Linked DNA regions of Rhinolophus ferrumequinum. The protein of the gene in region 1 purifies or fractionates together with the protein of each later gene. This does not show direct contact. Links are inferred from orthologs where the notes say so. Each region holds a gene or a part of one and is shown on either strand. Other genes may lie near its edges.

The links.
Region 2: the proteins of MTA1 (region 1) and HIC1 purify together in Homo sapiens (affinity purification with western blotting; 3 studies listed by BioGRID). This does not show direct contact. The link is inferred for Rhinolophus ferrumequinum from reciprocal best matches to the Homo sapiens genes MTA1 and HIC1.
Region 3: the proteins of MTA1 (region 1) and BCL11A purify together in Homo sapiens (affinity purification with mass spectrometry; 4 studies listed by BioGRID and IntAct, counting the BioPlex papers as one, with this or other methods). This does not show direct contact. The link is inferred for Rhinolophus ferrumequinum from reciprocal best matches to the Homo sapiens genes MTA1 and BCL11A.

What each region holds. Positions count from the first base shown.
Region 1 is NC_046289.1:455,903-466,486, reverse strand, and holds the start of MTA1 (metastasis-associated protein MTA1), read left to right. Parts: upstream 1-6,380; 5' UTR 6,381-6,449; coding exon 6,450-6,477; intron 6,478-6,815; exon of another isoform or gene 6,816-7,169; intron 7,170-10,584. Other genes in the region: TEX22 (testis-expressed protein 22), read left to right, coding at 1-127. UniProt on the Homo sapiens protein: Transcriptional coregulator which can act as both a transcriptional corepressor and coactivator. Acts as a component of the histone deacetylase NuRD complex which participates in the remodeling of chromatin.
Region 2 is NC_046304.1:15,993,330-16,003,710, reverse strand, and holds HIC1 (hypermethylated in cancer 1 protein), read left to right. Parts: upstream 1-5,579; intron 5,580-5,868; coding exon of another isoform or gene 5,869-5,956; intron 5,957-6,380; coding exon of another isoform or gene 6,381-6,505; intron 6,506-7,023; 5' UTR 7,024-7,043; coding exon 7,044-9,188; 3' UTR 9,189-10,130; downstream 10,131-10,381. Other genes in the region: uncharacterized protein LOC117012891, read left to right, coding at 5,157-5,579, 5,869-5,956, 6,381-6,505. UniProt on the Homo sapiens protein: Transcriptional repressor. Recognizes and binds to the consensus sequence '5-[CG]NG[CG]GGGCA[CA]CC-3'. May act as a tumor suppressor. Involved in development of head, face, limbs and ventral body wall.
Region 3 is NC_046296.1:28,336,468-28,346,308, forward strand, and holds the start of BCL11A (B-cell lymphoma/leukemia 11A), read left to right. Parts: upstream 1-5,901; 5' UTR 5,902-6,012; intron 6,013-6,589; exon of another isoform or gene 6,590-6,895; 5' UTR 6,896-7,025; coding exon 7,026-7,080; intron 7,081-9,318; exon of another isoform or gene 9,319-9,326; coding exon of another isoform or gene 9,327-9,375; intron 9,376-9,841. UniProt on the Homo sapiens protein: Transcription factor. Associated with the BAF SWI/SNF chromatin remodeling complex. Binds to the 5'-TGACCA-3' sequence motif in regulatory regions of target genes, including a distal promoter of the HBG1 hemoglobin subunit gamma-1 gene.

The DNA.
Region 1 (10,584 bases):
ACTCATCCCCCACCCGCGGAGGTCCTTCGAGTCCAACCACGCCTTCCATGCCTTCCTGGCCCAGAGCGTGCCTTCCTGGCAGAACTCGACTTTGGAGGCCCAGGTTTCGAGTTGGCCGCCCTCCTAAGAGCCACTCAGCTGGTGTCTGTCTTCAGCACCTTTCCTGGAGGGTCCTGGGGGAGGTGGCTGGCCGGAGGGACACTTTAGGCCATTTTCACATACCACCCAGGGCCACGACCAACCCACGAATGAGAAAACTGGCCCAAAAGCACTGTCTGGCTGTCTCTTCCCAGAACACGCACCCCGGAGGCCCTGGAGGCCACCTCCAGGAGGGATGCCTTGCTCCAGCCCAGCCTGCAAGAGGCCACCTGGGGGCCTGGAGGACAGCGGGGTGGGGGTGGGGGGCTGTGCCAGGAAAGGCCGCCCACACCTGTCAGAGGCCAACAGCTGTGGGCGGCCTGGGAGGGCCTGGTTTATGACCAGCTTCTTTGCGGGCCTGGGCTCAAGGGGTCTAGGCTGGGGGGCCAGGCCCCCTTGAGGAATCAGGCGCCTGCTTGAATGGCTTGGTGAGATGGTGGGACCAGTAGTCCTTAGGAGGGTGGGGCTTTGATATCCTGAGACCTCAGGTCCTGGTGCCTGCCCAGCCCTGGGGTGCCAGTCAGCATTGGGCCCTGCCTCCAGGAGCCCACACGTAACCCGGGGTGACACTGTGATGGGGAGCAGCCAGGGGCTGCAGGGCCAAGGAGCCGCTAGACACGGGAAGGCCTCCTGGAGCAGGGAGCCTCCCCACCTCTGCATGTGAGCGGACTGGCCAGCCCAGAGGCAGCGTGGCGGAGGTCTGGGGTCGCTGTGAGGAGCTGACCCTGCGCCTGCTGTGCTTTTGAGGGGTGGTGAGGCAGGGCTGCATTTTTGGGGAGACCAAGATGGAAGGGGATGGGAAGTGGCAGGGGAGAAAGGGGGTGCTTGCAGGCTCCCAGCCCTCGTGGTGCGAGGACAGCAGCAGGGCAGGCCTTGGTGACTGACTGTTGGGCTGACGGGGCTTCAGTGTGGGCAGCTGGGTACAGGGCGCTCTGGGCAGCAGGAGCTCACCAGCCGCGGGACCGGGGCAAGGGCAGGCGTCAGGCCTGTGCTGGCACCAGCAAACGGGCAGCACTGCCCAGCCCGCTCCTCCCAGAGCCCACTGCTCAGATGCTGCACCCCTGCCCCCCCCATGCCCCCACTCCCGCCCTTCCTGACTGCAGGACTCAGGAAGCTAGGTGCCCCCACTCTCTCTGGGGGCCCTGAAAGTAATTTTGTTCCAGGTCTGTGCATTTCTCAGGATCCCTAGCGTGGGTGGAGGGCCAGAGACGGAGACGACGGGTGGGACTAGGGGAGATGTCCTTAGGGGCGGGGGGGGGGGTTCAGGCAGGGCTTTGTAGCTCCCAATGAGGAAGTGGGGTGGGTGTCAAGGGCAGGCTGCGTGCTGGGCAGGACGGCCTTCCCCTGCTCAGTCAGCCGTTAGGGCAGGTGACAGGTGCTGTGGAGGCCTCTTGCTGACTGGCCTCATGGGCTCGTTAGTCACTCGAGGTCCAGGGCTTTGCTGGCTCACCCGGCCAGGATTCTGGGGTGGCCAGTGCTCTGCCCTCCACGAGGTCCCCCCACCGGGACCAGCTGTCAGGTGGCCCCAGAACCCCCACCACAGTGCCGAGGCCTGGAGCTGGGAGCCTCCTGGGCCGCCTCCCATGCAGGCGGCCACAGGGCCAACCTGACTCTCGGGAATGAGCGCCGTCTCCTGGTGGGGACTGGCACGGAGCCTGCGGCCCTCTCCAGCAGAGCACGGTGCGGGGACAGGGGACAGTGCCTGGAGATGGCTCTGTTGTCACACGAGGTGTTGCTGCCCTAACAGGTCACCACAGACTCAGTGTCTTCAATTCATGAACTGTGAATTCTGGACAGTCCAAAACGTCTCACTGAGCTAGGGTCAGGGTGTGGGCAGGGCTGCCTTCTTTTCTGGGGGCTCCACAGGACAATCGTTTCTCGCCTTTCCAGCTTCTAGAAGCACCCACACACCTTGGCTCATGGCCTCTCCTCCATCTTCTAAGTCACAACGTAGCATCTATGATCCTTTCCATCATCACATCTTGTCTCCGTTCCGCATCCTCTCCCATTAGGGACCCTGTGATTGTCGGGCCCACCCCATAAATAACCCCGGGTCCCTTTCGGGTCGCCTGGTTAGCGACCTGCACTGTCCCTTACCATGTAACCCAGTGCAGTCACAGACATGTGCACCTTTGGGGAGGCACTCTGCTTTCCACAGGGGCTCCTGGCACCGCGTGAATAGAGGCCAGGTGTGCTACTCACCATCCCACAGAGAACAGGACGGTCCCCACAACCAAGAATGAGCGGGCCTCCAATGTCAGCAGTGTCCCCCGAGGAGGGTATAAGGCAGCCCAGGAGCCCAGGTGAGAGTAAGGTCCACCCAGCAGGCAGGGCAGGCAGAATCAGCGTGGTTAGGATGTCACTCCTGGCCACCTCTGACAGCGGGTACTGCAGTGCTATCTCCGTATCCACTCTAGACTGTTCTTTCACTTCAGATTCCCGACCAGGTATGTCTCTCCCCAGCTCTAGGAAGAGCAATGCACCTCCCCGGGACTCACGGGGACACCCCTGATTGGAGGGAGGACATAGTCTCTCGGGTGCAGGCTCTGGGCTGGCCATGTGGTCCCCTTCATGCCCTGGCATCCGTCTGTGCCTCTGCGGCCGGTGTGGAGCAGGGTCTGAGGCTGCTCTAGACACGCCAAGCAGAAAGGGGAGCCCCCTCAGCCCAGCCCCCAGGACCAGTGGGGCACCTGGGAGGTGTAGCTTGCGCTCCGAGGGCCAGTGGACAGCCACTGCCTGGCACTGCCCCCACTGAAAAAAAGGACTTCATTGGCTTTGCGAGGACACTCACTATTCCACAAGCCAACAATAAAGTTTAAAAAGTGTTGCCCACGATTTCATCACCGAGATATTGTTGTCGATGTTCGATAAAGTTTACGCAGGTAGTTGTAAAGGCCCAGGCAAGCATGAGCGGTCACGTGACACACAGAGACCGTGCAGAGCTACTCCTTTAAGTAAAAGCATTAAGGGAAAACATGGTCAGTGAAATGTGAATGCTTCTTTACCCCAAGTTTCAAAGATGCTCCTAAGATTATTTTTAGAAATTACAAAAACCATGATGGGACGAGTGTCACTTGGTTTGAGGCAGCATGCTTCCATTAGCCAGAGCTGGCTCTCCTGCTTCCTGTGTCCTGTGACTGTGTCCTTCCTGCCCACGGACTCCCCATGGTCCCCTGCACCACTCAGCCCTGAGTCCGTACTGACTTCATCATGTCTTCAGTGGTTGGATGTAAGGTAGCTTTCACATTTTTAAAGAATTTTATTTCTTGGTTTCTTCCAGGTTTAAAAATGTTTTCCTGGGGCCTCCCTACTCCCGGGGGGATTTGGCTGGGGAAGGGTTAGGTTCTGCTTTCCTGCCCCAGGCTCCTGTTCATACTTCGGGCGCTGCTGGAGACCAGGGCTGGCCTGACTACGTCCTGGTCTGTGATGCCCTCTCTGTTCTCTCCGTCCTTGAGGGTCAGTGACTGGTAGTCGGGTCTCGGGTGGGTCACGCTGGGGGCTTTCCTAGACTGTGGCGTGAACTCTCACACAGGCTCCCAGCGGGCCCCAAGGGCGCCTCCTTCACCAGTGTCCTGACCGCTAAGCAAGCAGTGCCCCTCGCCATGGTCACTGTCTGAAAGCATGTGATGTCATCACACCATTCGTTACCTTCCCTCCTCCCCTAGACTTTGCGCCCCTAAGAGGGAGTCTCCCAGGTGAAACAGTGTGGCCTGAAGTCGGTGCTGAGTGAACCGCTTTAATTGCTCATCCAGCCACTCCTGTATCAGGGACCTGCCATCCTGCCCCTCCACAGGGGGGCCTCTGCTCTGGCCCTGCTGCCATGTCTCTAGTTCTCGGGCTCCTCCTGAGCCCCGCTCCTGCTTCCAGTGCTGTCCAGTGCTGTTCCAGAAGCTTCCAGTGCTTCCCAGCCCCGTCGGCCTGCCCCTCACTCCCCCTTGTTCTGCTGCTGCTGTTGACTCACGGATGTGCTCTGACCTTCTTCACATCACTCCTGCTCTGACGAGTCTGTTTGCTCTGCTACCAAACGGAGGAATTCGTCTTTTTTGCAATGTATCAGATGTGTTGACTTGGCGGAACTGGTTTATGGCCTTAGTCCTACATGCAGCCACTTTGTCAGTCAAGAGTGGGAGCCAGCTGGAGGAGCTGGGCTGCGGTGTCCCAAGACACTATTAAATGTCATTCTGCTTTGTGACAGGCACGTCACCTTAGGGGAGACTTGGAATTCTGGTGTCTTCCCTCAGACACCGGTTGACCTCAGAGGCCTTACTGTCCACTCTCAGGCAGCCCTTCCTCCCTTCACCCCCACTGGATAGAGGGAAACAGTAGGCTGGGTGCCCATGGCATCTGCTCTCAGGTTGAGGCCTCCAGTTTCTGGGAGGGAGGCAGAAGCTCTTGTGCATGATGGCTGCCTGGTCACCTTCTGGTTGTCCTGACTCCTAGGTCACTTTGTGAGGTGTTGGTGGAGGATTTTACGCTGCAGCTTTGCTTTCCAGAGGAGTCGCAGGCCAGAAAGGGAGGACAGAGGCCTGTGGGGGGGAGGGGAAGCACCCCACTGCCTCTCCTCCCCTTGGAATATCAAATCCTAGTATCACACCTGTGTCCTATACCTAAGCTCCTCCCCCATCAATCACAACTGTGGTCTCACCCCCTCGCTGCCCTTTCCAGCTAAGTTCCTGAGAGATGGTGGCCCATGGTGGTACCACGTGGCATGTAGTCCATTGCTCTCCTGGGACCTCTGCCTGCTTTCATCCCAGCACACGCTCTGGGCTCCTGCCCACCTCGATAGTTCCCTGTAAGGACCTGTCCATGGGGGGGTCTCCTCTACCACGTGGCATCCTGTGCTGAGCCGGGAGCCTCTCCTGAGCTCCACTCCGTGAAAGAGCCCCTCCATGTCCCACAAACTGGACATGCCCCCCCCCCCGCCACAGACCTGCCCCATGTGAGTAAACAGATAACTCAGGTGTTGCTCAAACCAGATCCCTGGAGACCCCAGCACCCTATTTCCCTCACCCCCCAGCAGTGCTGTCAACCCTGTCTCCACACTATGGCTGGGACGCCATCCTCTCTGCTTCATGCTCTCTCCCCTGGGGGCATAAGGACCCTGGTTTTGCCGGCACTGCATGAACCAGACTCTCCACTGTCCTAGGACCTGAAGCAAGAAGTACACAGACTTCCAGATTCCAACTGGTGTGGGAAGGAGAGCCAGGTGCCTCACTGCACACAGGCAGCCCTTCCAGCCCTCCTGTCTTCTGGGCATGGCACATCCTGCCATCCCAACCCACTGAGTCTGGGTCAGTGAGGCCTGCTGGAACCCCAGCCTCAGATGTGTCTTCCAGAGGGTGTCCTCTGGGCATACATGCTGCCCTCCTGCAGCCTTTTCATCAGACCACAGGCCAGGGAGGCCATGCCAGCTCAGTAACTGGTTCACTTGGAAGTGGGGTGGGGACACCCCCACATGTGAGCATGGCTGGGGGAATGGGTTATGAGCGGCAAGGCCTGAGACCCAGGGTGAGTGGAGACAGCAGCCTTGAAGGGAGGTATGGGTCCCATCGTGAGGCCAGAGCATGGCTGCTGGGCTTTAGGGCAGTGGAGGACTTGGAAAAGACCCACCGGAGATGGGGGTAATGGGGGGGGGTGGGAGGCCCCTGGAAGGGTTCGGGAGGCTGTGGAGGGTGTGGTGGGGATGCTGTGGGAAGGGACGCTGAAGATGTGGACCCAGGGATGGGGAGTGGGGAGGACCCACCCCGGTAAGGGACGCTGAGGATGCCAGAAGGACCCAGACATAGGGAGCACCCTAGTGGGTTGTAGGAGGACCCCTCTGGGGAGGAGCAATGGGAGGATCCACGAGGGGAGAACTGGAGGGGATCCACCTGGGGGCTCCAGGGAGGGCCCACGGTGTGGGGAGAACAGGGAGACCCACCAGGGGGCTGGGGAAGAACCACAGGCGTTGGGGGGGAGAATAGGGAGACGCCTCCCGAGAACTTGGGGAAGGACCCACTGGGGGGCCGCGGGGAGGACCCACGGAGTAAGAACGGGGGGACCCACCTGGGGGCTGGGGAGGACCCACGGGGGGGCGCGGGCGGCTGTAACGGCGCCGGCGCCGAGGCCCCTCCCCCGCTCGCGCCGCTCCTCCTCTTCCTCTCCCGCCCGCCGCGGCCTCGGTCCCTGCGCGGCCTCGGCGGCGGCGGCGGCGGCGGCAGCGGCCCCTTTAAACCGCCCGCCCGCCCGCCGCGCCCCCGCCCGCCCGCCCGCGCCTCCATTTTCCAGGCCGCCCGCCGCCCGCGCAGCCCGCGGCCCCGCCGCCGCCGGACATGGCCGCCAACATGTACAGGGTCGGAGGTAAGGCCGTCGCCGGGCCCCGGGCCCCCATCCCCTGCGCGCCGCCCCGACCCGTCCCGGTCCCCCGGGCCCCCGTCCCCCGCCCTCCAGGCCGCGCTTCCTAAACCGCCGCCGGGCCCCATCCCCGCCCCGCCGCACCCGGTCCTGGCCCCAATGTCCCTCCCCTCCCCCACCCCACCGGCGCAGCCCGGCCGCGCAGCCCGATCGGCCCACGACGCCCGCACCCCTGCTCCCCTCCCCCACCTTTCGAGCAGCCTGCCCCTCCACTTCCACCCCTGCCCCGACTGCGGACAGTGGGGGTGGCGGAGTTGGGCCCTGGGGAGCGGGGCTCTGCCCACCTGTTGGGGCGCCTGCGTGACCTGGGGGCCCTGGGGAGAGGCCGAAGCATCCTTTCGGGCCTGGCAGCCAGGGCTGGGCCTGGGGCCTGGCCAGCCCCCTCCCGGAGCTGGAGCACGTGGTCTTGCGAGGTGCTTGTCTGCTCTCCCAGGAGCAGGAGACTTGGGCCTGCAGGGCTGGCTGGAATGCTGGGGGCCGTAGGCCCCTGTGGGGATGGGGAGCCCCAGGCCTGGGCCACGATTTCCCCAGGGTCCAGGGACACCTGAGAGCTGCGTGTGTATTTGGAGGCTTCCCTAGCAGGATCCCTTGGGATCCTCAGCAGGATGCTTCCAAAGCACCCCCAAACTTTTCACTGCCTCCTGTGCCCCAGGCCAGCAGGGAGGTGCTTTGCAAGGGTTGGGGAGAGGCCGGTGACCCCTGCCCTTCTGCCCTGGTGGGGACTGTGCTGAGCAGGCTGGGGCCCTGGGGGCTTCACCCTCTTGGGCCCCAGGAACCCCCCTTACCTTTGGGCCTTGCCCCACTTTGTGGGGAGGGTCCTCAGGGACTCTGTGCCTCTGGATTTCCATGGAATTCTGAGCTGGTCCTCAGGTGGCTTCTCCACAGGGAGGTGAGGGACCTTGCAGCCCCCCATTTCATCGATGTTCAATCTTTCTGAGACTGTCAGACACTCACTTGCCCACCTTTGCCCGGCTCTCCAAGTCACCTCTGCCCCCAGTCTGCCCCCTCACTGGCCTGCTGACCCCTGGGTGTCTGGGACACATCTCCATCTAGCCAGGCCTTTTTTGTGACCAGGACCCCATCTGTGCAGTGGGTCATCAAGGCACCTGCCTGCTGTCCGGCCCTCCTCTGCCCTCTCAGGTTCAGAGGTGGTCTCTAGAATGGGGGCCTGCACCCCACTTAGCAGCAGGCCCTTGGGGAAACAGGGAACAGGCAGGGTGCAGGGGCCCTGTAAGGGAGGAGCCCGTTCATCTCCCACCTTGGGGAGGCAGGAGTGTCACCACACCCTAGGGAAGGCCCCATCACTGCTGCCCTGGACCCCCAGGGGGCCACTTACCTTTCTCCACCCCCCAGCCCCTCTGCACAACCCCCAGCTGCTGTGGCTCAGGGCTCCTGCATCCATCCCTCTCGATGCTGTCCCCCCTTGCACCCTCCTGGACCACCTTTGTGCCACACAGATCCCCTCCTACCTTCTGTGAAGCCCCCATGGCACCTGCTGATGGGAACAAGTCCCTGTGACCTGAAGCCCACCTGCTGCCCCCTTGAGGTGACCAGCTAGAATCCCCTCTTGCAGGCATGGTCTTACCCTCGCATCCCGTCTGGCCCTGAGTGCAGAATAAATGAAGGCTGAGGGGGAGGCAGGGTGGGGGCTGCAGCCACTGTGCCTTTGGCCCTGCCCAGGCACCTCTACCCGCCTCTGCCTTGTGGGGCCTCCACTGTGCCTGCTTGTTGGGATTGGCCCTTCCCAGGCTCTGGGCCCCTGGACCCCGACTTGGGGTCTCCCCTTGCGTGTGGGTTGTGTCACTTAGCCTCTAGGTCTCCTACCTGCTTGAGTACTCAGCAGGGGCCCGGCCACCCCCCAACCTTCCCTTGCCTCAGTTTCCCTGAGGTGTGGACAGGGCTCTCTGACCTGCAAGGGCTCCTGGGGAGGCCTGGCTGGCCTTGAGTCTGCGTGTGCCCCTCTGAGGGTGCTGTGGGATCTCCTCCCAGTTTCAAGTGGCGCTCCGCAAGTGTGACCACAGGCTCCACTTTGAACTCCTGTCAGCCCCTGGGAAGACCCTAAATGTGGAAGAAACTGCATTTAGCCTTGGTTTTGGTTTCGGGGCGGGGACCCTGACGTGCCATCCCCTGGGTCCCGGCAGGGCTGGTGTCACAGTGTGTGCGGTGTTGGCAGGTCAGCATCCTGTTCCCAGGTGCTGCTTTCTTGGGGAGGGGCCATCTAGAAGACGGGCCCTCTGGTCCCTGAGTGGATTGTAGCCTGGAGGACACTGCAGGGACAGTCTAGGAAGGGACTCCCATTGTCTCCACTCAGAACCCTAAGAACAGAGCCTTTTCCAAAGGTGCCCGATTCTGCAAGCACAGCTAAATTTGGGTTTCAGATAAACAATTTCTTAGCATAAGTACGTCCCAAATAACGCATGGGACATACTTATGCTAGAAAATTCTTTGCAGAAATCTGCAGTATCTGGATGTCCTGCATTTCACCTGATGGGCTGTTTCAAGGCCCTGCCAGGATGTGTGGGCGGGGTGAAGGCATGGCTGTGGCTTTGTGCCAGCTGACCAGCTGGGTGGAACGGGTCAGCCTGGGAGGGGACAGGGCCTGGCTCTTCCCAGGGAAGTGACCTGGCCATAGACAGAGGCCTTCTGTCAGTAGGCTGCGAGTCTGGCAGGTGGGTGGGCGGGGCCTGGACACGAGTGGCAGGGTCAGGGTCCACGACCTCTGCCCCTCGGGGCCTGTGCTCCAGAGGACCCGGGCAGGCTTCTGGAACGGGCCGTGGCTGAGGGCTGCTTCTCTGCACACCTGCCCAGGTGCCTGGTGACGTGTCAGCCACCCTGCAGTGTTGTCATGCGGCTGACAGGCTCTGACCATTTCCCACAGGATTTTTTTTTTTTCTTCCATTGCAAGAAGTTAACACCCATTCTTATGGATAGTTTGTTTTTTCAAATATACTTTAAAAAAGTGCCAGGAACATCCTGCCACCAGGCAGCCTCTGCTCTCCCCACATCATCGGTTTTGTGTCTTGCTGCGTTCATTACGTCAGTACGCTGTCCTGCTGTCAGAAACGCTGCTTTCATTTTTTTATTTTAAGCTTTTGACAAGGTAAGACAGTGCCAAGCATGAGCCCCCAACTTCTGAGTGGCCTTCAGGGAAGTGCTGAGCTGCCCCAGGGGTTGGGGCCCCCCTTGTGGCTTTGAGAGAAAAGTTTGACCCTTCTGCTCTTGGATTAAAAAGAAGCAGCTGCTGATCTGAGTTGGAGCGAATCCCTCACGCCTGGGCCCCACAGGGCGGGACCCTTGGGGTCTGGGCACCCCTGCGTGTTTCCAGTGCCTTCCTGGAGGCTGGCTCAGAGCAGGGCATCTGGACATGTGGACATGGGTGCTGGACATGCCAGGCATGGAGGCGGGCGCCTTGTGGTCGGGACCGCAGGGCTCCTCCCGGGCTGCCTCCAGCTGAAGTGGAGGTGCGCCCACCTGGATTCCGGGCGGGTCCCGCCGGTCTGTTGCCCCGAGTCCCCCGGAGGAACCACCCTGAGGCCCCTGCCCAGCCCCCCCCCCCCCGGCACCCCAACGTGCCTTCTCTCAGGAGTTCAGGCTCTGCAGTGTGTCCTGTTCATCGGCCCAGGGCCTCACTCTCCGTGCCTGTCTGTCCTTAGGGCAGCGGGGGTGGGGGCACACAGCTCATGGCAGCACACAACCTTCCTGGGCTCCCAGGACCCCGCACGGCCGGCGAGGGGTGCTGGTGCAGTCTTCACAGTGGTTGAGCCCGGGCGCCGCTGCCCATGTCGGGGCGGCCTTGGGGGCCTGGTGGGCGGGGCTGCTCAGATGCTCTCAGGAGCCTGCCTGCCCTGCCCGTGCTGGTCCCTTGAGTCCCTCCTGCACGTGGTGGCCTCAGGCGCCCACGGGCACCACCTGCCTCCGCACATTTCCAGGGCCTCATTCCTCCGGGTTGGACGTCTTCTCCCAGCTCCGTGGCCTATGCCCGCACTCCGGGCCCTTTCGGCCCCTCCCTGACCACCTGCTGGCCGCTGCCTTCAGAGCCGACCTGCTCATGTC
Region 2 (10,381 bases), on another chromosome or scaffold:
TCTTCGCCCTCAGCTACGAGTTCCTGGAAGAATGAAGTCAGGCGTGTTTAGGAAAACTTCCCTTTGTCCTCCCCCTTCGGTCCCTAGGAGGCGAGCCTTTCTTCTTGCTTTCAGGTCCCGGCAGCTTCCCTCACACTGAGGAGATAAAAAGAACCTAAATCTCATCACTACCCCTTCTCCTGCCATCTCCTGGTTGCAATACCTCGGCTAGGAGGGCAGGTCAGTCACTGAGGCCAACGGTCAGACACACTCTGCACGCCGTGCTTCCTTCTCTGCCTCGAAAGCGCGGCGGTCGAACCCCGGAGTCGCCTGCCCGCCAGCACCGAACCTCCCGCCCCGCCCCCCGCCCTCAGACTTATCCAATCTTGACTCGTCGCCCCCGCTTCCTCCTGCTCATAGTCTCGCTCAGCCAGGGCTGGCAGTGCGCGGCGCGGCGCGTGGGCGTGCTGCGGGGCGACCATGGCTGTAGACTGTTACCTTCGGTTCCCACAGTAACAATCGAAAGCCACGGTTGCCCTGGAGACGCGGGGGCGGGGCGCGCGCTGCTGACGGCACCGCGGCAGCTCCAGTCAGGCTGACGTCAGGACCGCTGGAGTGGGGGGTCGGGGGCGGGGCGCACAGCGGGGACCCGGTGCCGGACTGCTCCCCGGCTGTGCGACGTGCTTGTGGGCCCGCCGCCCCCCCGCAGCCCCTGGGGACTAGGGACGCGACGTCCCGATGGCGGAGCCTGCGCTGAATCAGCACCGCGGACAGCGGTGGCGCGGGCAGTGAGCGCCGGGCTGAGGGACCCTGGAGGGGGGAGGGGGTACAAAGGTGCCAGGGGCGCGGCAGGTGGCCGGGTCCGCGGTCCTGGGGCGGGGCCAGGCGTCGGTGGCCGTGACTGGAGACTGTTACTGAGGGCGGCCCGGGCAGTAAGCAGTCTAGAGCCAAGGTGCCGGCGCGCTGCCCGGGGGGGAGTGCCTCTGTCGCCCGCAGCTGGGGGCGCTGCTGCTCTTCCTCCCCCGCGTCTCCCGCCTTTCTCGGCCCCAGCGCTCGGGTACAGGCACGCGGCCCTTGACGTCAAAGCCCTGTGACATCAAAGATGTCCCTGCGGAGAGGCACTTCCGGAGGTGGGGGGGAGGTTTTGGGGGTGGGGCGGGGCAGTCCTGTCGAGGCCCCGCCCCCGCCTGGTCCTGAGAGGACAGCTCCTCGCGCAGAGGCGGGAAGTCGGGGGAGCAGAGGGACAGCCCGACGGGACAGGACGGGGAGGGGGCGCCCCGGCTGAATTCAGGGCAGCGGGCAGGTGGGCATCTGTCCGTCGCCGGCGTCCCGCTCAGCTGGCTGGGGACAGCGAGGCTGAGTCACCGCGATGAGGGGAGGGGAGGTGGGGGCGCGTCTCTTGAGGCTCCAGCATCTCCCCACTTTCTTGGGAGAATGGCGCAGAAGCCCCAGGAAAAGCCGCGGGGTCTCCGGGGGTCCATCTTCTGTTCGATGCTCCTCCAAAGTGGCTGCGTCTCCATCTGGGTGCAGGCAGGTGCTGCACGGGTTTCTGTGTACGCCTCCGGTACCGGTTCAACCAGCTGTGAGGGAACCCTCATCCCCCACCCTGCCTCCAACCCTACCTCGTAGGAGCCCTCCAACCTGCTGCCTGCGGGTCTCCTCGTTGCTCTCCCGTCCGTGTCCATGCATCCGTCCATCTATCGCCCGTCCGTGGGTCAGTCTCGCTTACCTGCCGGGCCGCGTCGCGCCCGCGCCAGCTCGCCTCCTGCAGCCCGGCTGGCGCGGCGGCTTTTATAGTCGCGCGTAGTACTCGTGCGGCGGCTCATTCATGCGGCCGCGGCTCCTACACACTGACGCGTTGCCGACGTCAGCAGGGAATTTAGGAAACGGGAAGAGGGGCTATTTATAGAGGCGAGGGGGGTGGGGACCGAGGCGATGAGGAGCTGGATGAAGAGCTGGGAGGTGGAGGAGGGTGCATGGAAGCAGGAACGGGGGGCGGGAACCCATGCCCCATGTACCGGTCTACAAGGGGTTAACTTTCCGGAACTGCGGGCTGGGGACCCGCGAGAGGATAATGCGGGGGGGCTGACGGGTCCCTTACATATTTATTCACTCTGCGACACCTGGGATGCAACCCTACTCCAGCCCAGCCTTCCAAGGTCCTCACCGGGTAGTACCCAATCCTACTCCTTAGTTTCTGGACCCGAAGGCTCTGTGACGTCACAAGATGTCCCACGGCGGCGTTATACTCCAATGGTCACTGCGGTGTTGTCACCCTGAGGAGTGAGGCAGGAGAGGAAGCTCCAGTGTGTGTGGGAGGGGGCGGGGGTGAGGGCGCTAGGGCAGCACCTAGAGCTATGGTGTGGATAGGGGAAGAGTAGGGAAACTCAGGGATCTCGAAAGGCTTTGTAGGAAGAGGCTGGGCCTGGAAGGAATGCCCAGTGGGGGTCCAGGTATCAGTTGGGAGCTGGAGACAAGAGGGAAGGCAGAAAATTGAAGAGGGTGGCTTGGACTCGCTGGAAATGAGCAAGGGGGTCCTCTGTGGGGGAGGTGGGGAAAAGATGGCAGGAGAAGGGGGGGCAAAAGGAAGAGGAAGCCTCAGCAGGTAGAGAGGAGGACAGGTCCCCTAGTGTCAGTGTCAGACCCTGGCACTGCAGACCACGTTTAGGACCCATTTGTGGAATGGTGGCATTGACAGAGCTCATATGGGGGTGATAATGAGTGAGGGCTCCGCAGCTTGGCAGAAACAGGTCTGGGGGGGGGGGCAGGGCAGAGGAGTTCGAGTTCCTGGAAATCAGAGTGGGCAGGAAGGGCCCATGCTATGTGGGTGGGAGTTCCTCTGGAGAGGACCAGGGAAACGAATGATCCTGGTCCACCCTAGCTCCATCAATTGAGATGGGCTCTCAATCAGGGAAGGGGAGTGCATTGAAAGAGAGGAGCTGGATTGGGATGGGGAGGGGGCAGTGCTAGGCCAGGGCAGGTGGAACTAGGGAAAGGTCAAAGACTGAAGAGTGAAGCCCACAGGAAGGTAGCTAGGCTGGGGCATCTGTGAGACCCTCCCATACAGATGTAAGGACAAGGGCTGGGGCAGTGAGCTAACTTGGAAAGCAGGGATCCAGGTAGAGTGTTGAAAAAAGACAAGGAGGGCCGGCCAGGTGGCTCAGGTGGTTGGAGCTCGGTGCTCCTAATGCCAAAGGCTGCTGGTTCGATTCCCACATGGGCCAGTGCCAGATGGCTCAGTTGGTTAGAGAGCATCCTCTCAACCACAAGGTTGCCAGTTTGACTCCCACAAGGGATGGTGGGCTGCGCCCCCTGCAACTAAGATTGAAAGGACAACAACTTGACTTGGAAACGTCCTGGAAGTACACATGTTTCCCAATAAATTCCCCTTCCCCTTCCCCAATAAAATCTGAAAAAAGGAAAAACACAAGGATAGTGGGCACATGGGTCCACAGTGGACAGAATCCACCACCACACAAAAGAGACACAGAGCTGAGGGGCAACTTGTGAGGCTAGGATCTTACCCCATCAAGAGGATAAAAGATTACAGCAGAAACAAGGTTAGAGAGGTCCTCCATACTCTTTGGGGTCTGGCTGACTAGAGTTTTTTGTTTGTTTGTTTGTTTGTTTTGCCTCCAGGCTTCCTCCCAGAGGTTCTCTTCTCCAAGAATGCCTTCCTGCCTGGCGGGAGAACTCCTCTTCATCCATCAAAGCCCAGTTCTAAGAGCACTTCTGAGGACCCTTCCCACCTCTTTCCAGCACTCCTTTCACTTTTCCGTCTCAGCGCACAGCACGTCCCCCTGCGGTAGGGGTCTGCAGCTCAGGAACCCCATTTTCATTTTTGGAACGTTACTACTTCCCTAGTGAGGCCATCATGGGAAGACAGAAGAGAGGATTAGGATAAGATTGATCCAGAACACAGACTGGAAACAGGGTGAGGGCGGACTCCGCGGTAGGAATGGGGACTTGCGGGGACCAGGAGCCGCCTCCTGGCCCCGAGGCCATGAAGTCTCTCGTGGAGGAAAGGGAGCCTCTGGGGGGCGCCAGAGCCTTTGGTGTCCGTCAGGGACCGCGAATGGCACCGCCGGCGTCCCCTCAATGAGTGATTCAGCCACTACCTCTAGCGGGGCATCGGGGCGGAGGGCCGCATGGGGGGCGGCGAGCATGGCCCCCACCCGCCCAGCGGCCCTGAGCGGTTGTTATGTTCTCCAAGGCCTTGGAGAGACGCGATCTGGGCGAACCTCAACGGTTACTATGGTAACTCTGCGACCCAGCCTCTAGCGAGGCAGCTGAGGAAGGCGCAGCCAATCAGCAGCTGCAGGCGTTCTCAGGGACCCACTCCCACCCCCCACGTGTGGGCGGGGGTCAGGAGGTGCGGGGAGGAGGAGGAGCGTGGGCCGCAGCGAGACCCCGCGCCGCTACCAGCTTGATGCGGGCTACTGGGCTGCGCGGGGACGCTTCCGGAGTAACCCTGCAAATGCCTGTGCGCCAGTGCGGGGTCCCCTTCCTCCCACAAGAGGTGTCACCTACAAGAACCGGGCCTTCACGCGGGGTGCAGGACCTTGCGGGGGATCCCGGGCTGCAGGCCCTCCTGTCACGTTTCTCTCGGATCGGTGTGTTGGAGATGAAATCGTCCAAGCAGGTCCCTCAAAATGGCTCACTCGGGAATCTGGGGGCTGCGCTCGCTTCCGTGGGATCCCCAAAAGACACTGTCCAGCAATTCCCAGTCGAATATCCTATGGCCCCTCTATAGATCTGCAAGTTCAGTGTGGCCTGTTTGGGTAACGTGTCTGTCCAGGTTAACGGAGGGCCCTACGTGGCAGCCCCCAGAGTATTACAGAGAGCCGGGACTTGGACTCCGGAAGGGGGCAGGCAGGTGTATCTGTGCAAATTTGCGCGCCCGCAGGTGTCAGTACCTGGAGAGGATCTGGGTGCAAACGGGTTTATTCTGTGCATGTGTCATTTTAACTCGTGTCTGAATGAGGATATGTGTGTTTGGGGGTGGCTACAAATGGACAGTCCCATCCAGGAATGTCTAAGTAGAGTCCCCCAAGATCTTGTCTATCTTCCTCTTCCTTAGGATTTCCGTAACCACCCTCCCACCATCTACTGTCACCAGAGTCTTCTCCTTGAGGGCAGGACTTCTCCGAATTGGGGCAATGTGAGAATCTGCAAATATGTACACCGGAGCATTTAGCTCAAAACCTCGGGGTTTGTGGGGCTCGCAGGTCCGGAGCTTGGGTTCCCAGTCGGGCATATCCGGGAGGGTGAATCTGCGAATAGGCCTCCCTGCAAGATCCAACTCCGCATCTGCGAGCCTCCAGCCCAGGTGCGCGAGAGGGAGGTCATGGCTGTGTCGCGCAAAGCTCCGCGCGACCGCGAGGTGGCTCCATAACTGCAGCAGAACCCGCCGGCCCGGGCCGCTCCAGATAAGAGTGTGCGGAAAGCGCGGCGGGGCTGAGACGCGACCAGGACGTGGGGAGGACGGACCAGCAGGACAGACCGACCGGGGGCCCGGCGGGCGGAGGGCAGCACAGCGCAGCCACGTCCCCCCTGGATCCGCCGGCAGCCGGGCCCGGGGCTTCCGACATGCCCCCCAGGTGGGTCCTCGGGCTGGGGACCGGGAGGGACAGGGGACCTAGACAGCCCGGTCCTCGCGCGCTGACCGCCTCGGGCGCATCCTCCGGCGCGGCCGTCCCAACGCGGCTGGCGTTCGGAGCTCCGAGTGTCGCCCCTGGAGGACTCAGGACCACAGGGTCGCTGTTCTGCGCCGGGTTCACGGCGGGGTCAGCGGCCCCGGCCGGCTCTGCCCGCACATGGGCTGGAGAGGCGAGGGGAAGGGAAGGGGAGCTGGCGGGCGGGGCTGGCAGGGGCGCTGCCCTGGCACAGTTCGGCGCCTGGCAGCGGGGCGGGTGGGGCACGGGCAAGGAGCTGCCACCACCGCGGGGAGGGAAGCCCGGTCGGGCTGCGGCCGCAGGTAACGGGCCGCGAGGCCCTGCGGGCCAGGCGGGGAACAGGGGAGGGCGGGCGAGCGGGCGGGCAGGGTAGCTCAAGGCTCGACTCAGGCCCTGCGGTCGCCGGGCTGCCAAAATGGGGGGCGAGAGAAAAAGCTGGGAGCCGAGGGGACTGGGGCTGGTGCGCCCCTCCCGGCCTGTCTGAAGTTGGGAAACTTTTCCCCAAGTTTGGGGCGGCGGAGTTCCCGCGGAGAAGGGGAGCTGGGGAGGGTGGCGCCGGTCTGCGAATGCAGACCTAAGGCCGAGGCCCGGCCGGGACGCGGGTGGGGCGCAGGCCGAGGTCAGGGCCGCAGCCGGCTGCGCGCCGTGCCCGCCCGGGGCGCTGCCCCCTCCCTCCCCTGGGAGCTGCGTGGCTCCCCCCTCCCCCCCACCTGCTTCCTGCCTCAGCCTCCTGCCCCGATATAACGCCCTCCCCGCGCCGGGGCCCGGCCTTCGTGCTCTGCCCGCCACGGCAGCCGCTGCCTCCTCTCCTGGTGCCGCGGCCGCCGCCCGGGCCCCAACTGAGGGCCTGACAGCCCCCGGCCAGGGCGGCGCCACGGCGGCCACGGCGCTCCCCTCCTCCGGATCACTTCCCCCAACTGGGGCAACTTCTCCCGAGGCGGGAGGCGGTTTTCACTCGTCTGCCTTAGATCCCACTTGGGCAAACTTCTCGGCCCTGAATGACTTTTCCTGAAGCGGACATTTCCCTCAAATCGGGTAACTGTCTCCGAAAGGGTCACTTCGCCCGAACAGTTTTCTCCTTGGAAGCCCCCCAGAAGCCAGCCTGTGTGCCCGGTACCTCCGGGCCTGGGGTGCAGGCCAGCCTGGCCTCCTCTCCACCAGCCACTCTCCTGCTCCTTCTTCTGGTCTGGGCCTCCGGCCCAGGCTCCCACACTCAGAGGCCGCTGATCCTCCGCCAGTGCCCAGGCCACGGTGCTCGATGCCCGTGCCTAGCTGAGGGGAAGGGAAAGTGGAGGGGAGACGCGCCGGGCTGGGGACCAGCAGCGAGGGCTCGGTGCGGCTCTGAACCGGCTGGTGTGTGTCCCCGCAGGAGATTGTGCTGGGCAGAGGATGCTGGACACGATGGAGGCTCCCGGCCACTCGAGGCAGCTGCTGCTGCAGCTCAACAACCAGCGCACCAAGGGCTTCTTGTGCGACGTGATCATCGTGGTGCAGAACGCCCTCTTCCGCGCGCACAAGAACGTTCTGGCGGCCAGCAGCGCCTACCTCAAGTCCCTGGTGGTGCATGACAACCTGCTCAACCTGGACCATGACATGGTGAGCCCAGCCGTGTTCCGTCTGGTGTTGGACTTCATCTACACCGGCCGCCTGGCTGATGGCGCAGAGGCTGCTGCTGCGGCGGCAGTAGCTCCGGGGACCGAGCCGAGTTTGGGCGCCGTGCTGGCTGCGGCCAGTTACCTGCAGATCCCCGACCTCGTGGCGCTGTGCAAGAAGCGCCTCAAACGCCACGGCAAGTACTGCCACCTGCGGGGCGGCGGCGGCGGCGGCGGTGGTTATGCACCCTACGGGCGGCCAGGCCGCGGCCTGCGGGCTGCCACGCCGGTCATCCAGGCCTGCTACTCGTCCCCAGCCGGGCCTCCGCCGCCGCCCAGCGTTGAGCCGCCGTCGGGTCCCGAAGCCGCAGTGAACACGCACTGCGCAGAACTGTACGCCTCCGGCCCCGGCCCGGCGGCCGCACTCTGTGCCCCGGAGCGCCGCTGCTCCCCACTCTGTGGCCTGGACCTGTCCAAGAAAAGCCCATCGGGCTCCGCGCCTCCGGAGCGGCCGCCTGGTGAGCGCGAGCTGCCCCCGCGCCCAGACAGCCCTCCCAGCGCCGGCCCCGCAGCCTACAAGGAACCACCGCTTTCTCTGCCTCCACTGCCACCGTTGCCCTTCCAAAAGCTGGAGGAGGCTGTAGCACCTCCGGACCCGTTCCGTGGCGGCGGCGGCAGCCCAGGACCCGAGCCCCCCGGCCGCCCCGACGGGCCCAGCCTCCTCTACCGCTGGATGAAGCACGAGCCAGGCCTAGGCAGCTATGGCGACGAGCTGGGCCGGGAGCGGGGGTCCCCAGGGGAGCGCTGCGAGGAGCGCGGCGGGGACCCGGCATCCTCGCCCGGGGGGCCCCCGCTCGGCCTGGCTCCACCACCGCGCTATCCGGGCAGCATGGACGGGCCTGGCGCGGGAGGCGACGGTGATGACTACAAGAGCAGCAGCGAGGAGACGGGCAGCAGCGAGGACCCCAGCCCGCCTGGCGGCCACCTCGAGGGCTACCCATGCCCGCATCTGGCTTATGGAGAGCCTGAGAGCTTCGGTGACAACCTGTACGTGTGCATCCCGTGTGGCAAGGGCTTCCCCAGCTCAGAGCAGCTGAATGCGCACGTGGAAGCGCACGTGGAGGAGGAGGAGGCGTTGTATGGCAGGGCCGAGGCAGCTGAAGTAGCTGCTGGGGCTGCGGGCCTCGGGCCCCCTTTTGGAGGCGGTGGGGACAAGGTCGCTGGGGCTCCCGGTGGCCTGGGCGAGCTACTGCGGCCTTACCGCTGTGCATCGTGCGACAAGAGCTACAAGGACCCGGCCACGCTGCGGCAGCACGAGAAGACGCACTGGCTGACCCGGCCCTATCCATGCACCATCTGCGGGAAGAAGTTCACGCAGCGTGGTACCATGACGCGACACATGCGCAGCCACTTGGGCCTCAAGCCCTTTGCGTGCGACGCGTGTGGCATGCGCTTCACACGCCAGTACCGCCTCACCGAGCACATGCGCATACACTCGGGCGAGAAGCCCTATGAATGCCAGGTGTGCGGTGGCAAGTTCGCACAGCAACGCAACCTCATCAGTCACATGAAGATGCACGCCGTGGGTGGCGCGGCCGGCGCAGCCGGGGCACTGGCGGGGCTGGGGGCGCTGCCTGGCGTCCCCGGCCCCGATGGCAAGGGCAAGCTCGACTTCCCTGAGGGCGTCTTTGCTGTGGCCCGCCTCACCGCTGAACAGCTGAGCCTGAAGCAGCAGGACAAGGCCGCCGCGGCTGAGCTGCTGGCGCAAACCACGCACTTCCTGCACGACCCCAAGGTGGCGCTCGAGAGCCTCTACCCGCTGGCTAAGTTCACCGCGGAACTGGGCCTCAGCCCGGACAAGGCGGCGGAGGTGCTGAGCCAGGGAGCGCACCTGGCCGCTGGGCCCGACGGCCGGACCATCGACCGTTTCTCCCCGACCTAGAGCGCCCCACAATGAGGCCCGCCCCACTGCCGCTGCGTGGCCCCTGGCCTGTGCCTCCAGGGAGCGGCGGCAGCGGCGGCAGCGAGCCGGCACACCGTGGCTCCAGGATAACTGTGGTAGCAGCGGCAGCGTCACCGCAGTGGCGGCGGCCCCACCTCTCTGCGGCCTCACCTGGCCTCACTGCTTCGTGCCTTAGCCCGGGGGTGGGGGTGAGGGGAAAACCCCGGGACGGGGGTGGGGTGGGGGAAGGGAGATTTATATTTTTGATATCAGCTTTGACCAAAGGAGACCCCCGGCCCTTCTCCGCCTCTTCCTGTGGTTCGTTGGCCCCATCCCCCGGGCTCCGTGCTGCTTTTTGGGGGAGGGGTGTCACTGTTGGGGCGCTCCCAGCCCTACCTCCGGCCCTTGCGACCACTCCCATTCTCACTGTGAATCTCCCCGCCGGGGTCGGAGCGTCGGGCAGAGTTGGGGAGCGGGGAGGGGACTGAGCCGGCCGGAGGGCCCCCTGCCCCCGCTCCCACCCGCCCGGGGACTGATAATGTGAAGTTCCTCATTTTGCACAAGTGGCACTAACCCCAGGGCCCACCCTTCCCTCCCTCTGGAGTCAGAGGGCTAAGACAACCCTGGCCTACCCGGTCTCCCACTCCCACCGTGTCTCCTCCTTCCTTCCCTGGGGCCCCGGACCATATTTATTGCATGCGCCCCGGGCAGCCCCACACCCCGAGCCCAGGCTGGGCTGGGCCGGAACGTGGTCTCTTTAGCTCCCTCCTCCTCATTTGTATATTTTCTACCTTGTACACAGGCTCTTCTAGAGCCGCTTCCATTTTCTATACTCGATCCAAACAGCAATAAAACAGTAACCAAGGACCCTGGACCCTGCGGCTCTCTTCTGCCCTGCCCTAGGACTGGGGTGGGCACAGGTGGGGCCAGACAGGCAGAGGGACCAGACACAGCGCCCTTACACAGGTACAAAGGCTTGGACCTTTTTTCCTCCCTTCCCTCCCCAGTCTCAGAGAAAGATCAGCAAGAGGTCAGATATGTTTCATAACTAAAAATTTATTAAGGAAACAAAACCAGTGCTGCAAATGGGACAGAAAGGAGATGGGTCTCCCACCCACCCAGTCATTGGCCTTCATCCAGGGGAGAGGATTTCAAAGGAGAGGCTGGGGACCCTGTACCTTAAAAGAGCCCAG
Region 3 (9,841 bases), on another chromosome or scaffold:
TTTATTTTTACCACAGTGTTGATAAGATAAAGGAAGATCTGAGGTGTTTTATTTCTCCTTTTCAGTAAAGTTTTACATTTTCATCAGAATATAACATCAAATGTATACATACCTCAGTGTATGAATATGAGGTTGTAATATATCTTGACATATAGTCTTGATGTTTTTCAGTTGTCTCTCTCTCTCTATATACATATATATATATGTTTTGTCCAGGATAATAAAATAATAAACACTTATAATAATGGCAAAGAGTACTTGTCCAAATAAGGGCTAACTGAACTGCCTATAAATTTCCTTTAGACAGTGAAGTCATAGCTAGAAGTTGGCAATAAGACCATCTGAAACGATTAAAAAATCATTTCTGTGATGTTTTTCTTAGAAAGGAAGGGAGAAAGGGAAGGAAAGAAAGAGAGAGAGAGAAAGAGAGTGAGAGAGAAAGAGAGGAGAGAGAGAGAGAGAGGAGAGAAGAGAGAGAGAGAGAGAGAGAGAGAGAGTAAAGATCTCTAAAAGATTCCTCCAGCTGATTTATTCTGCTGTTCTTTTACAATACAACTTCACATCTGACTGATAACTTGAATTCCACCCAGTGCCATTTAAATAGCCCAAGTTATAAACCTCTTAAACTTGGGTTTATAATAGAAACACTGACAGACCCTTAACTATAGTGCCTCTATAGTAATGAAAGCACACTATTTCATTATAGCATGGGTCTGGCAGGGCTGCTTATAATTAAGAAGCCTGTCAGCGTTTCCATTAAAAACCCAAATTTTAAGAGGTTTTTTAACTCCCATTGTTTTAAATCACATTGGGCTGAAATTGCTGTACAAAATGTTGGACAGAATGTGTATGTGGGTTGTGTGGCTTTTCCTTTTATTTACGACTCCGCCGTCCCCCAAAGAAGACAAATTGGTGAAGCTTGTTTTTAAGATGGGGTGTACTGAAAAAATGATTTCTTTGTTTAAAAGCAAAAAGCTTCATGGAGGGGGGGCACATAGGAAATGAAGTTTGAGATCTTATTAAATTTATGTTTGTACTTATTGTGTTTTTTCCTTAGAAATGCTCTAATTTGGGAAATCAGATTTGTACATCCAAAAAGCAATGTTGAAAAAAAAAATGGATCTTTTGATACTGGGGTTCTTAATTACCTATGGCTTATTTGGAAGATATTGACAGTGGTGGGCTGCTGGAGTTGATGGAAACATCTTGCATTGCATTTTTAATTGTTCAGCTGCTCTGATATTTGGGATAATCATTTTGAGCTCACCATCCTTGGTGGGAATCACTTTTAGGCTAAAATCACTCTTAATTAGGGTTGCCTGATCAAAGTCTTAGTGGTTTCCTGAGGAAAACCAATAGAATATAGATGGTTATATTCATTTCATTATGTGGTGATAGATTTATTCACTAGTCACACAAAAAAACACATTTATTGAGCATCTACTATGTGCTGAGTATCGCATTAGGACTTTCTAATATAGTACGTGGACTGGGCTTCATTGGCCAGCACCTCTATGCCTTTGATGTCAATATTAGGGGAGCTAGACTGAGCATTTCACCCTACAGTGCTCTAATCAGAACTCCCTGTTGTCTTCAAAGGGGATTCTTACTTAAGTGGTGAGACTACTGCTTCCCCCACTCCCCATACATTATTGACTCAGCACACAGCTCCCCAGTCTGGAGGCAAGTACAGACTTATTTAGAGCAGATTCAGCTTTTTCCTTCCTCCTCTTTATCTCTCCCTTCTTTAATTTTTGGATAGGTCCATTCAGGTATGTGAAGTAGTTTGCCAGCCAGCCAAAAGCACAGGGAGCCTCTGGAGAAGTACCAGGCTGTTCCCCCAGGAACCTCCCTAGGGGAAGTCTGGTGCCTTTGCAGAAGATGTGGACACTGCCCCTCCAGGGGCCTCCTCAGGTCCCAGGCTCTGGATCACACTGGAAGTAGAGGAATAAGACATGTTATGTGTGTGGAGGGGTGGAGGGCTGGGAGTGGGTGTTTAGGAGCTTAGGGAGTCTGAGGAAAGAGGGGACTGTGGCCTTCTGCTCACCTTTCAATTTAGAGGTGCCTACACAAAGCCCATCCCCTTCCTCTCACACAACCCTCTTCCCTTCTCTTTTTTAATTAATATTTCCTTTGTCCTAAACAAAATCCTAGTACTCCTACCCTCAAGAACCCCAATGCAAAACCTATGCCTAATGTAGAATCTATACCTAAGTTTTATTTTTATGAGATGACTGCCCTTTCTCTATCTTCTAAACTGTCCTCTAGGAAAAAAAAAAGTGAAAAAGCAAGGTGGGATCGATTGCATTTTTAAACCATCATTCATTCAGTCATTCATTTATTTATCTTTAAGTTCATAAAGGTGGTTTCCCCCTAAAGGCAGACAGTGAATATTTTACATTAATCTTGTAGTTTCCTTCTAGACGGACCTTTAACCCTTCATTCTCTGGCTCAGCCCAAGTCCCCCGCGCCAGGCGATCCTCTGTACGAGGGCTGGGACTGTATTAAGTCTCCCTCTTCGAGCTGTTTGTTGACCACATTCACGTTCAGAGCCCTGGAGCTAAAAGCACTTTTACACCATAAAATAAAAGCAACTGTCTTTTTTTTCTAAAAGGTTACGTCTGGAGGCCACGCGCTCATACTTCATACCGAAAACTACTGAAAGGACTATGAAATCCTCTATGATTTACACTCTCTCACTGCATTAGAGTATAGATCTACTAGACTCTAAAAATACGGTGAGTTTCTAACCGACGTGAATATATGTGCATTATTTCAGAAAGTCTGTTAGAAAACTTGTCAACACATTATAAAGCATAAACCAGGACTTGGCTATTAAGTACGGAGATCAGAGGCAGAATATATACTGCGAGGAAGTCCTGGGGAGTCTCTCCTCCGCGGGCAAGATAAAAAGGGGGCGGAGGGGAGGGGAGGGGTCCTCGGTTGGCCTGGAGTTTACACGCAATGTCGTCACCAAAGGTTTGGGAAAAAGCCCACGGAGCGTAATTGCCCCCTCAGTGGAACCAGCAAAGGTTCTACAGCTCCAAATGAAGTTAACTGAACGGCCAAAAAATAATTTTAACGTTGTCATAATTTATTACTTTCTAAAAGCCACTTTTGGAAAGGTAAATATACTTATTGTGTATTCACGTGTGCGCGTTTAACGTGACCTTTCACCCCTCTACAAAACCACCTGCATCATTAATCAATACTTATGTAATATTTTTAAAGCTCTTAAAACAACACATTTTTATTTCTTTAAGCACACATAAAAACCCTTCCCCTCCCCCACTTTTGGGGCGCTTTAGCGAGCATCTAACCCCAATGAGGGAGGGGGGCGTCACTCCTAGGGACTAGCCCAAGGAACCCGGAGTGGGGGTCCACGACCAGGAGGGACCAAATGCCTATACACAGCCCTGGTTTTCTGGACTGGGTGAAATCAGGCTGGGGGAGGGGCGGGAGCGGAGGGCATTTCCTATTTCACTCAGGGGCATTTTATGATGGTGAAATGAAATATATGTTAATGGTGGAAACGTTGCTGCTTACCTCTGCATTGGCACCCAGGGAAAGCAGCTGCAAAACTGGGTTTTTAATGTATGTTTTAAGATGTGGTTTCGGAAGGAACCCCCTGGAATCTGAAACAAGTGCAATAACATAGCAGACCTACTTGTAACTAAGTGCTTAATTTCCTATGATTTTTTTAAAAAAGAAAATCAATAAAATGTTGCCAGTTATTTATTGGAAATAACCACAGATAGCGGCCCTGATAGGGTGCCAGTTTTAGAGAGCACACAATTGTGTAATGAATTGTAATTCAGAAGACTGTTAAATGTGAACCACAGAACCTTTCAGAGGTAATAAGTCATTACTTTTACACTACAGCCAACCCTGAAAAGCTTTATACATACCATTATATATAAATCATACATATATATTTCCACAACACACATTCGCCCATTTATACACCTTCTTTGTGTATGGACATTTATGGATGGATGGGGAAAATATTTAAATTTGCAAAACTCGGTTCCGAAAGAATCTGACTCACTATTGTTACCTGAAGGGGTTTTATTTTTCAATTTGTTTTCAAAGGCCTCCCAGTTGTACTTTCTTCTTCCCTTTGCTCACCTTCCCTCCAACCATTCTCCTCCAAGTCCCGCTGCCCAGCCCCCTCCCCCAACTCCGCAAAGACATTTTTTGGTCGCTTTAAGGCTAGTTTAACAAGACAAAAAAATAGACAGTAGTGGAAGAAAGAAGCTGACCTGGTCTGAAGAACTCATGACAAGGGGGAAATGGTGTAACGCACAAACGCACAATCTACAGAGCTTTACTGAAAGTGAAATCTTCCTGCTTCTTAAACGGGATTTGAGTCTCCCTCCTCCCCCAAGCTGGAGGAAACAACAAACCACATTTACACTAACTCAGTCCAGCTTAACATCTTTCCTAATGTTGAGCATCAAAACCTCCTTTTCTTCCTTAGAGGGGCCCGAAGCTTCACCGAGCTAGGCAAGCCAGTCATTTTCTAATAGGTTTGAAACTTTACTAAGACAACACATGAATAAACAGCCGCTTGCCGGCGCGACTGGGAAGTGGGTGCGCGATTGCAAGGCGGGGGCCCTTGCTTAAAACAATAAAGCCCCTGCTGGGTGGGCGAATTTATGAAAAAGACGGCCCTTAGACTGAAGAGGGGGAAGAGAACCACGAGGGGTTGTGGAAATCCTTGGAGCACAGGGGAGACTGCTTGCTCTGCAGATACACACTCACACACGTCCACCTGCAGCTTGGAGTCTCGCGGGCTGCGGCCACCTGCCTCCACCCTGCAAGCTTGCGCCTCCCTTGGACTTGAGTCCCTTTTCCACCTCCCCCCTGCCCTTCCGGATTTGCAATCGCAGCGCGGTCTCCGCGGCGGCAGCGGCGGCTGAAGCTACAGGGTGGCGCAGGCAGGCAGGGAGGCTGGGAGGCGGGAGACGCCGGGGACTTTGCAGGCACGTTTCTGAATAAACTTTCCAATCGCAGGGGGTGCTGTTGCTGTACATTTCACGTAAAACTGAAAGTATCCCACGCCAGAGTGAAGCCCGCTTTTTGACAGCGGCAGTGTGTGTGTGTGTGTGTGTGTGTGTGTGTGTGTGTGTGTGCGCGCGCGCGCGTGCGCGCGCGCATTAAAGAGACAGGGGTTTATTTCCAACAGGTCTTCCCTAATTTCCCGAGAACGTCTGCAGAAAGGCCAGACCGGGGCTGCCGTTTCCCAGCGTGTGCGCCTTGGCCAGGAGCGCTTGAGGAGCACGGCGCTGACCCCCGGCGGTCACCCCACCACATGGCCTCCCCGTAGCTCCAGCGAGACAGCCGTTCTCTTTGCATTCCCCATTTTCTCTCCCCGGGTAACAGCACAGGAATAGTTGTGCTCTGCCCGTAAGAAACATTTCTTTCTATTCCTCAGTGCTTTTGCAGTTGCTCGGGAATGGGAGGGGGTGTGTCCATCCCTGGGACCCGGCTCGGGGACCTCGCTCAATGCCGGGAGCACGTTCCCAGGGATTGGAATTACCGGGACTGCCGGTGCTTTGTCCTCTGGCCTGCGGCCGCTCGGTGAAGTGGACGCCTCGGCGCCTCCCTAGCCCAGGGCCCCGGCTCTCCCCTCCGGGGACCAAAACGTGCCCCCAGTCTGGCTCCGGGTTCTTTATTCCTCAGCCTCTCTCCGCCACCCTAGGGAGATTCGACTCAGTGCTTCTAGTTGCATCCAGACCCAATCGCTTGTGGGGGCGCGTAGAACCACAGCCCTTCCACCCCCAGTTTGGCCTTGGGGGCGCTCTCCCAGCCCTCCGACCCAGGCCTGCACCACTCTCCTCGCCCTTGCCCCTCTCTCCAGGCAGCCAGGGCTCCGGGAAGCCCGGGGGCTGCCCTTTCGGACCCGCCACCCTCCAAACTTGGGCTGGACTCTGTTTCGCCGCGCGCTCCCTCCCGTCTCCCCTCGCCCGCTGCGAAGCTGTAACTTGGAGGCTCAACTCTCAACTTCGGGTGATTTTTCTTTACGATCCTCTCCTTGGGCAAAGTTTCCCGACCGCAGCCGCCGGCTCAGGGCTTTCACTTGGGCCCCGGCGTCCGCACGCGGGGAGAGAGCGCAGCGGCAGTGGTGAGGGGAAGTGGGTGTGCGCACGGAGGAGGGTGTCCGGGAGCAACTCTACCTGGCTTCCCTCCGCCCGCGCTTCCTCGGCCCGGGGCTGCAGTCTCCCCGTACACGCCAGCTTTTTAATAAAAAAAAAAAAAATCTTTCATTTTTGGGGTGCGTGTGCTCGAGGAGGAGGGAGCGCGTCTTGCTGCCCCCAACCCCTGACCCCCCCCCCCGTCGCCCCTTTCTTCTTCCCGGGCCACGCCGCCGCTTCGGCGTTGGCTGCGGCCACTCGTGAGCCCGCGGCCCCAGCTCCCCCTCCCCTCCGCCTGCCCCTCCCCCGGGGGCCGCGTCTGGCATCTGCGGAGCCCCCCGCCCCGCACCTCCCCCGCCCCGCACTGGCCATTGGCTTGTCCTGGTCTCTTTTTCATGTCCAGCCCCTGATGTGTGTCCATTGGTGTGAGCTTCCCCTTCCCTCCTCCCCTCTCTCCTGCTCGCCCTGCCCATGTTTTGTGTGTCTCTGTCCATCCAGACTCCTGACGTTCAAGTTCGCAGGGACGTCACGTCCGCACTTGAACTTGCAGCTCAGGGGGGCTTTTGCCATTTTTTTCATCTCTCTCTCTCTCTCTCTCTCTCTCTCTCCCCCTCTATCTCTCCTCTCTCTCTCTCTCTCTCTCTCTCTCTCTCTCTTTTTTTTTTTGCTTAAAAAAAAAAAGCCATGACGGCTCTCCCACAATTCATCTTCCCTGCGCCATCTTTGTATTATTTCTAATTTATTTTGGATGTCAAAAGGCACTGATGAAGATATTTTCTCTGGAGTCTCCTTCTTTCTAACCCGGCTCTCCCGATGTGAACCGAGCCGTCGTCCGCCCGCCGCCGCCGCCGCCGCCGCCGCAGCCGCCCGCCCGCCCCGCAGCCCACCATGTCTCGCCGCAAGCAAGGCAAACCCCAGCACTTAAGCAAACGGGAATTCTCGCGTAAGTAACCCAATAATAGTAATAATAATTATTAATAATCACGAGAGTGCGCAGGACAGAAGCAAGAGCGAGGGGGGGAGAGGGGTGTGTGCATGCATTTTAAAATTTTTTCACGAGAAAAACCTCCGAGAGTCGGGATAAAAGAGATTAAAGGGAGGGGGAAAAAAAGCAAACCTCATTCCATCTCGAATCATAGCCGTATGTACTTTTGGGACAGCACGCACCTTTTAATTTTACAAAAATTTGACTCCTCCTCTTTCCTGCTTTCCGCTGCTTTATTTCGCTGTTCGAAAAGGAATGCAATGATTTCCCCTCTAATTTTGCAAAATAATGAACAATGCTATGTATGGATGCGAACAACTCTCTTGCAAACCTAGGGGAGGGAACTGGAGGATAAAGGGGGGTTGCTTCCACTCATCGAAGGAAGGAAAACGGGGTGGGGGGGGTAAGAGAACCCAAGCCTAAAAAACAATTCCCAGTGAGAAAAGAGGTGAGACTGGCCCTCGGACATCAGCGCGCTCACGGTCAAGTGTGCACCGGGAGGAAAGTAGTCATCTCCACAATAGTGAGAAAGTGGGATTGTGGGATGGGGCCCCCGGCGCTCTGGAGTCTGCGGAGTGTGGAGAGGGGCCGCGGCGGCTCGGAGAGCCGGGCGACCGGCAAGGACGGGAGACGCGGCCGGCGCTGCCGCCTTTTGTTCCGGCCCGAGGTGGGTGTTTGTCCCGCTGCCTTTTGTGCCGGCTTCTAGCGCTTGCCCTCCCGCGCCGCCGCCGCCGAAGGGCAGGAGCAAGGGCCGGGGGTGAGCAAGAAAGGGAGGGTGGGCGCGGGTGCCGCCACCGCCCGGGTTGTGGCTGCCCGCCACTCCCGGGAGAACCTCAGTGGCGGATAGAAGACGCGCAAAATTAAATCAAATTAAATTAAAAACTAAATATAACAAGGCAAGAGAATGTAAAATTTCTTGCCCCAAAACAGAAGCCAAACGCTCCGCGGGCAGTTTCTGCAACGCGCTCCTCTTTGACTCCCCCCCCACCGCAAAAATCTCACACTCTTTAAATAGGGGGGGGGGGAAATACAATTACCCCCTTCCCCAAAACCTCTTTAGTTGCAAACTTAGAGCGCCGGCGGCACGGAGAGGGAGCGAGGAACTCCCTCCTCTTACTATTTTTTGGAAGATTTTCAAAAAAAGTGGAAGTGGATTTTGATTGGGAAAAATCTCGTGTCTGAATGTTTACAAGCACCGCGTGTGCGGGAGCCTCCTGCCAACAAACAGACAGAGGACCGAGCGCGGCGCGGCAGCCCGGGAACGGGTGGCTGCCGCGGCCGGGCCTCGCTGGGGCCTCGCCGGGCCTTGCCGCGCCCCCGCCCTTCCCGAGATTGCCCACCCGGCGCCCGGCGCCCGCCCGCCGGCACTGCTGGCAGGCCGCGCCGCAACTCTGCGCCAGCGGGGTCCACGGTTCTCTCGCCCCCAGCACAATACCCAAACCTTCTCTCGGCCAACCCGACTGCGAAATCCGCTGGGGAGAAACGCGGCTTTGCAAAACATTTTCATTTTGCGAAGCAACTGAAAAATCGAGTTTTGCGACCCCCCCCCCCCCCCGTCTCTTGTCCACAGCTCGGGACGGCGGGGAGGTCACCACGTGCTTTCCCTGCCCTCCTCCCACCCAGTCTGGTTACCAGCCCCTCGGCTCCGGGAGCACTGACACGCGGCGGCGCGGGGGGGGGGAAGGGTGTTGGGGGGTGGTCAGGAGAGTAATATATTCGAGTACGCGTTTTGGGAGTGCTGAATCTCGGGATTCCGTGCACCTCACCCTTGAGTTCTTTCCCTTTACCCCTGGTCTGGCTCGGTCGGGGGCGAGGGGGGGGTCCTTTTGAGCCTATCAGTGGTGGGTGGGTTGCTGTCTCCTCGCTAACAGAGTGCGTCTGGAAAGGCTGGCGGTGGGCACTTAGGAAAGTTTGGCAGTGAGGAAAAGAAAGGCGTGACAGGGCCCACATCCTTTCTCCTCATTCATGACCCTTATTTTAATTTTTGATGCAATTTTAAAGGGCCACAGATACCCAGTTCTGTAGTTTTTAAATCGGGGGGTGCGCACAGGGAATTGAATTTTTCACTGGGCCCTGGCTGGAACTTATCACAGACTTTGGAAGCTTCCCCCGCCCCAGCACGTTGCGGGGCCCTCCCTCTCCCCACCCCCGCGCATCCCTCCCTCGCCGCTCTCCCCCACCCCCCACTCCCCCGGCTGCGCCGGATGCGGAGCAGACGCGGCGCGCGGCGGTGTGAAGTTACAGCCGGGCCAGGTACCCGCGGGAAGGAAGGGCAGTGTTCGCAGAACTCGGGAAAGCCGGGCCCTTCTTCGGAAGGATGCATTGGGGGCTCAAAGGACAGACTGAGGCGTGCAGTCCGGGCTGCTCCCCTGCCTCCCTCCCCCCATCCCGGGTCCATCTCGGGACACTCCTGGCTGGGTGGATTAGTCCCCTTTTCCCCCCGCCCTAGTGCTTTGGGTTAAGGGACCAGCTTGGAGGGGGTTCGGGGGTCGCTTCTTGTACTGGGTGCAAAGAGGGGGCGGGAGCCATTCAGGTCTTTAGGAACCCCCCCAACCCCCCATCCTCCGCTTCTTGGGCTGAAAGAGAGCCATTCGGTCGCTAGGAGGCAGAACAAGATCAAGAAAGCTCAGCGAACTTGAACCTGTACCAGAGCCTCCCCCCACCCCCAGTTCTGCGTTTCTCCACCGGGGAGGGAAGAGCTTTGCGAGGGTGGGGGTGG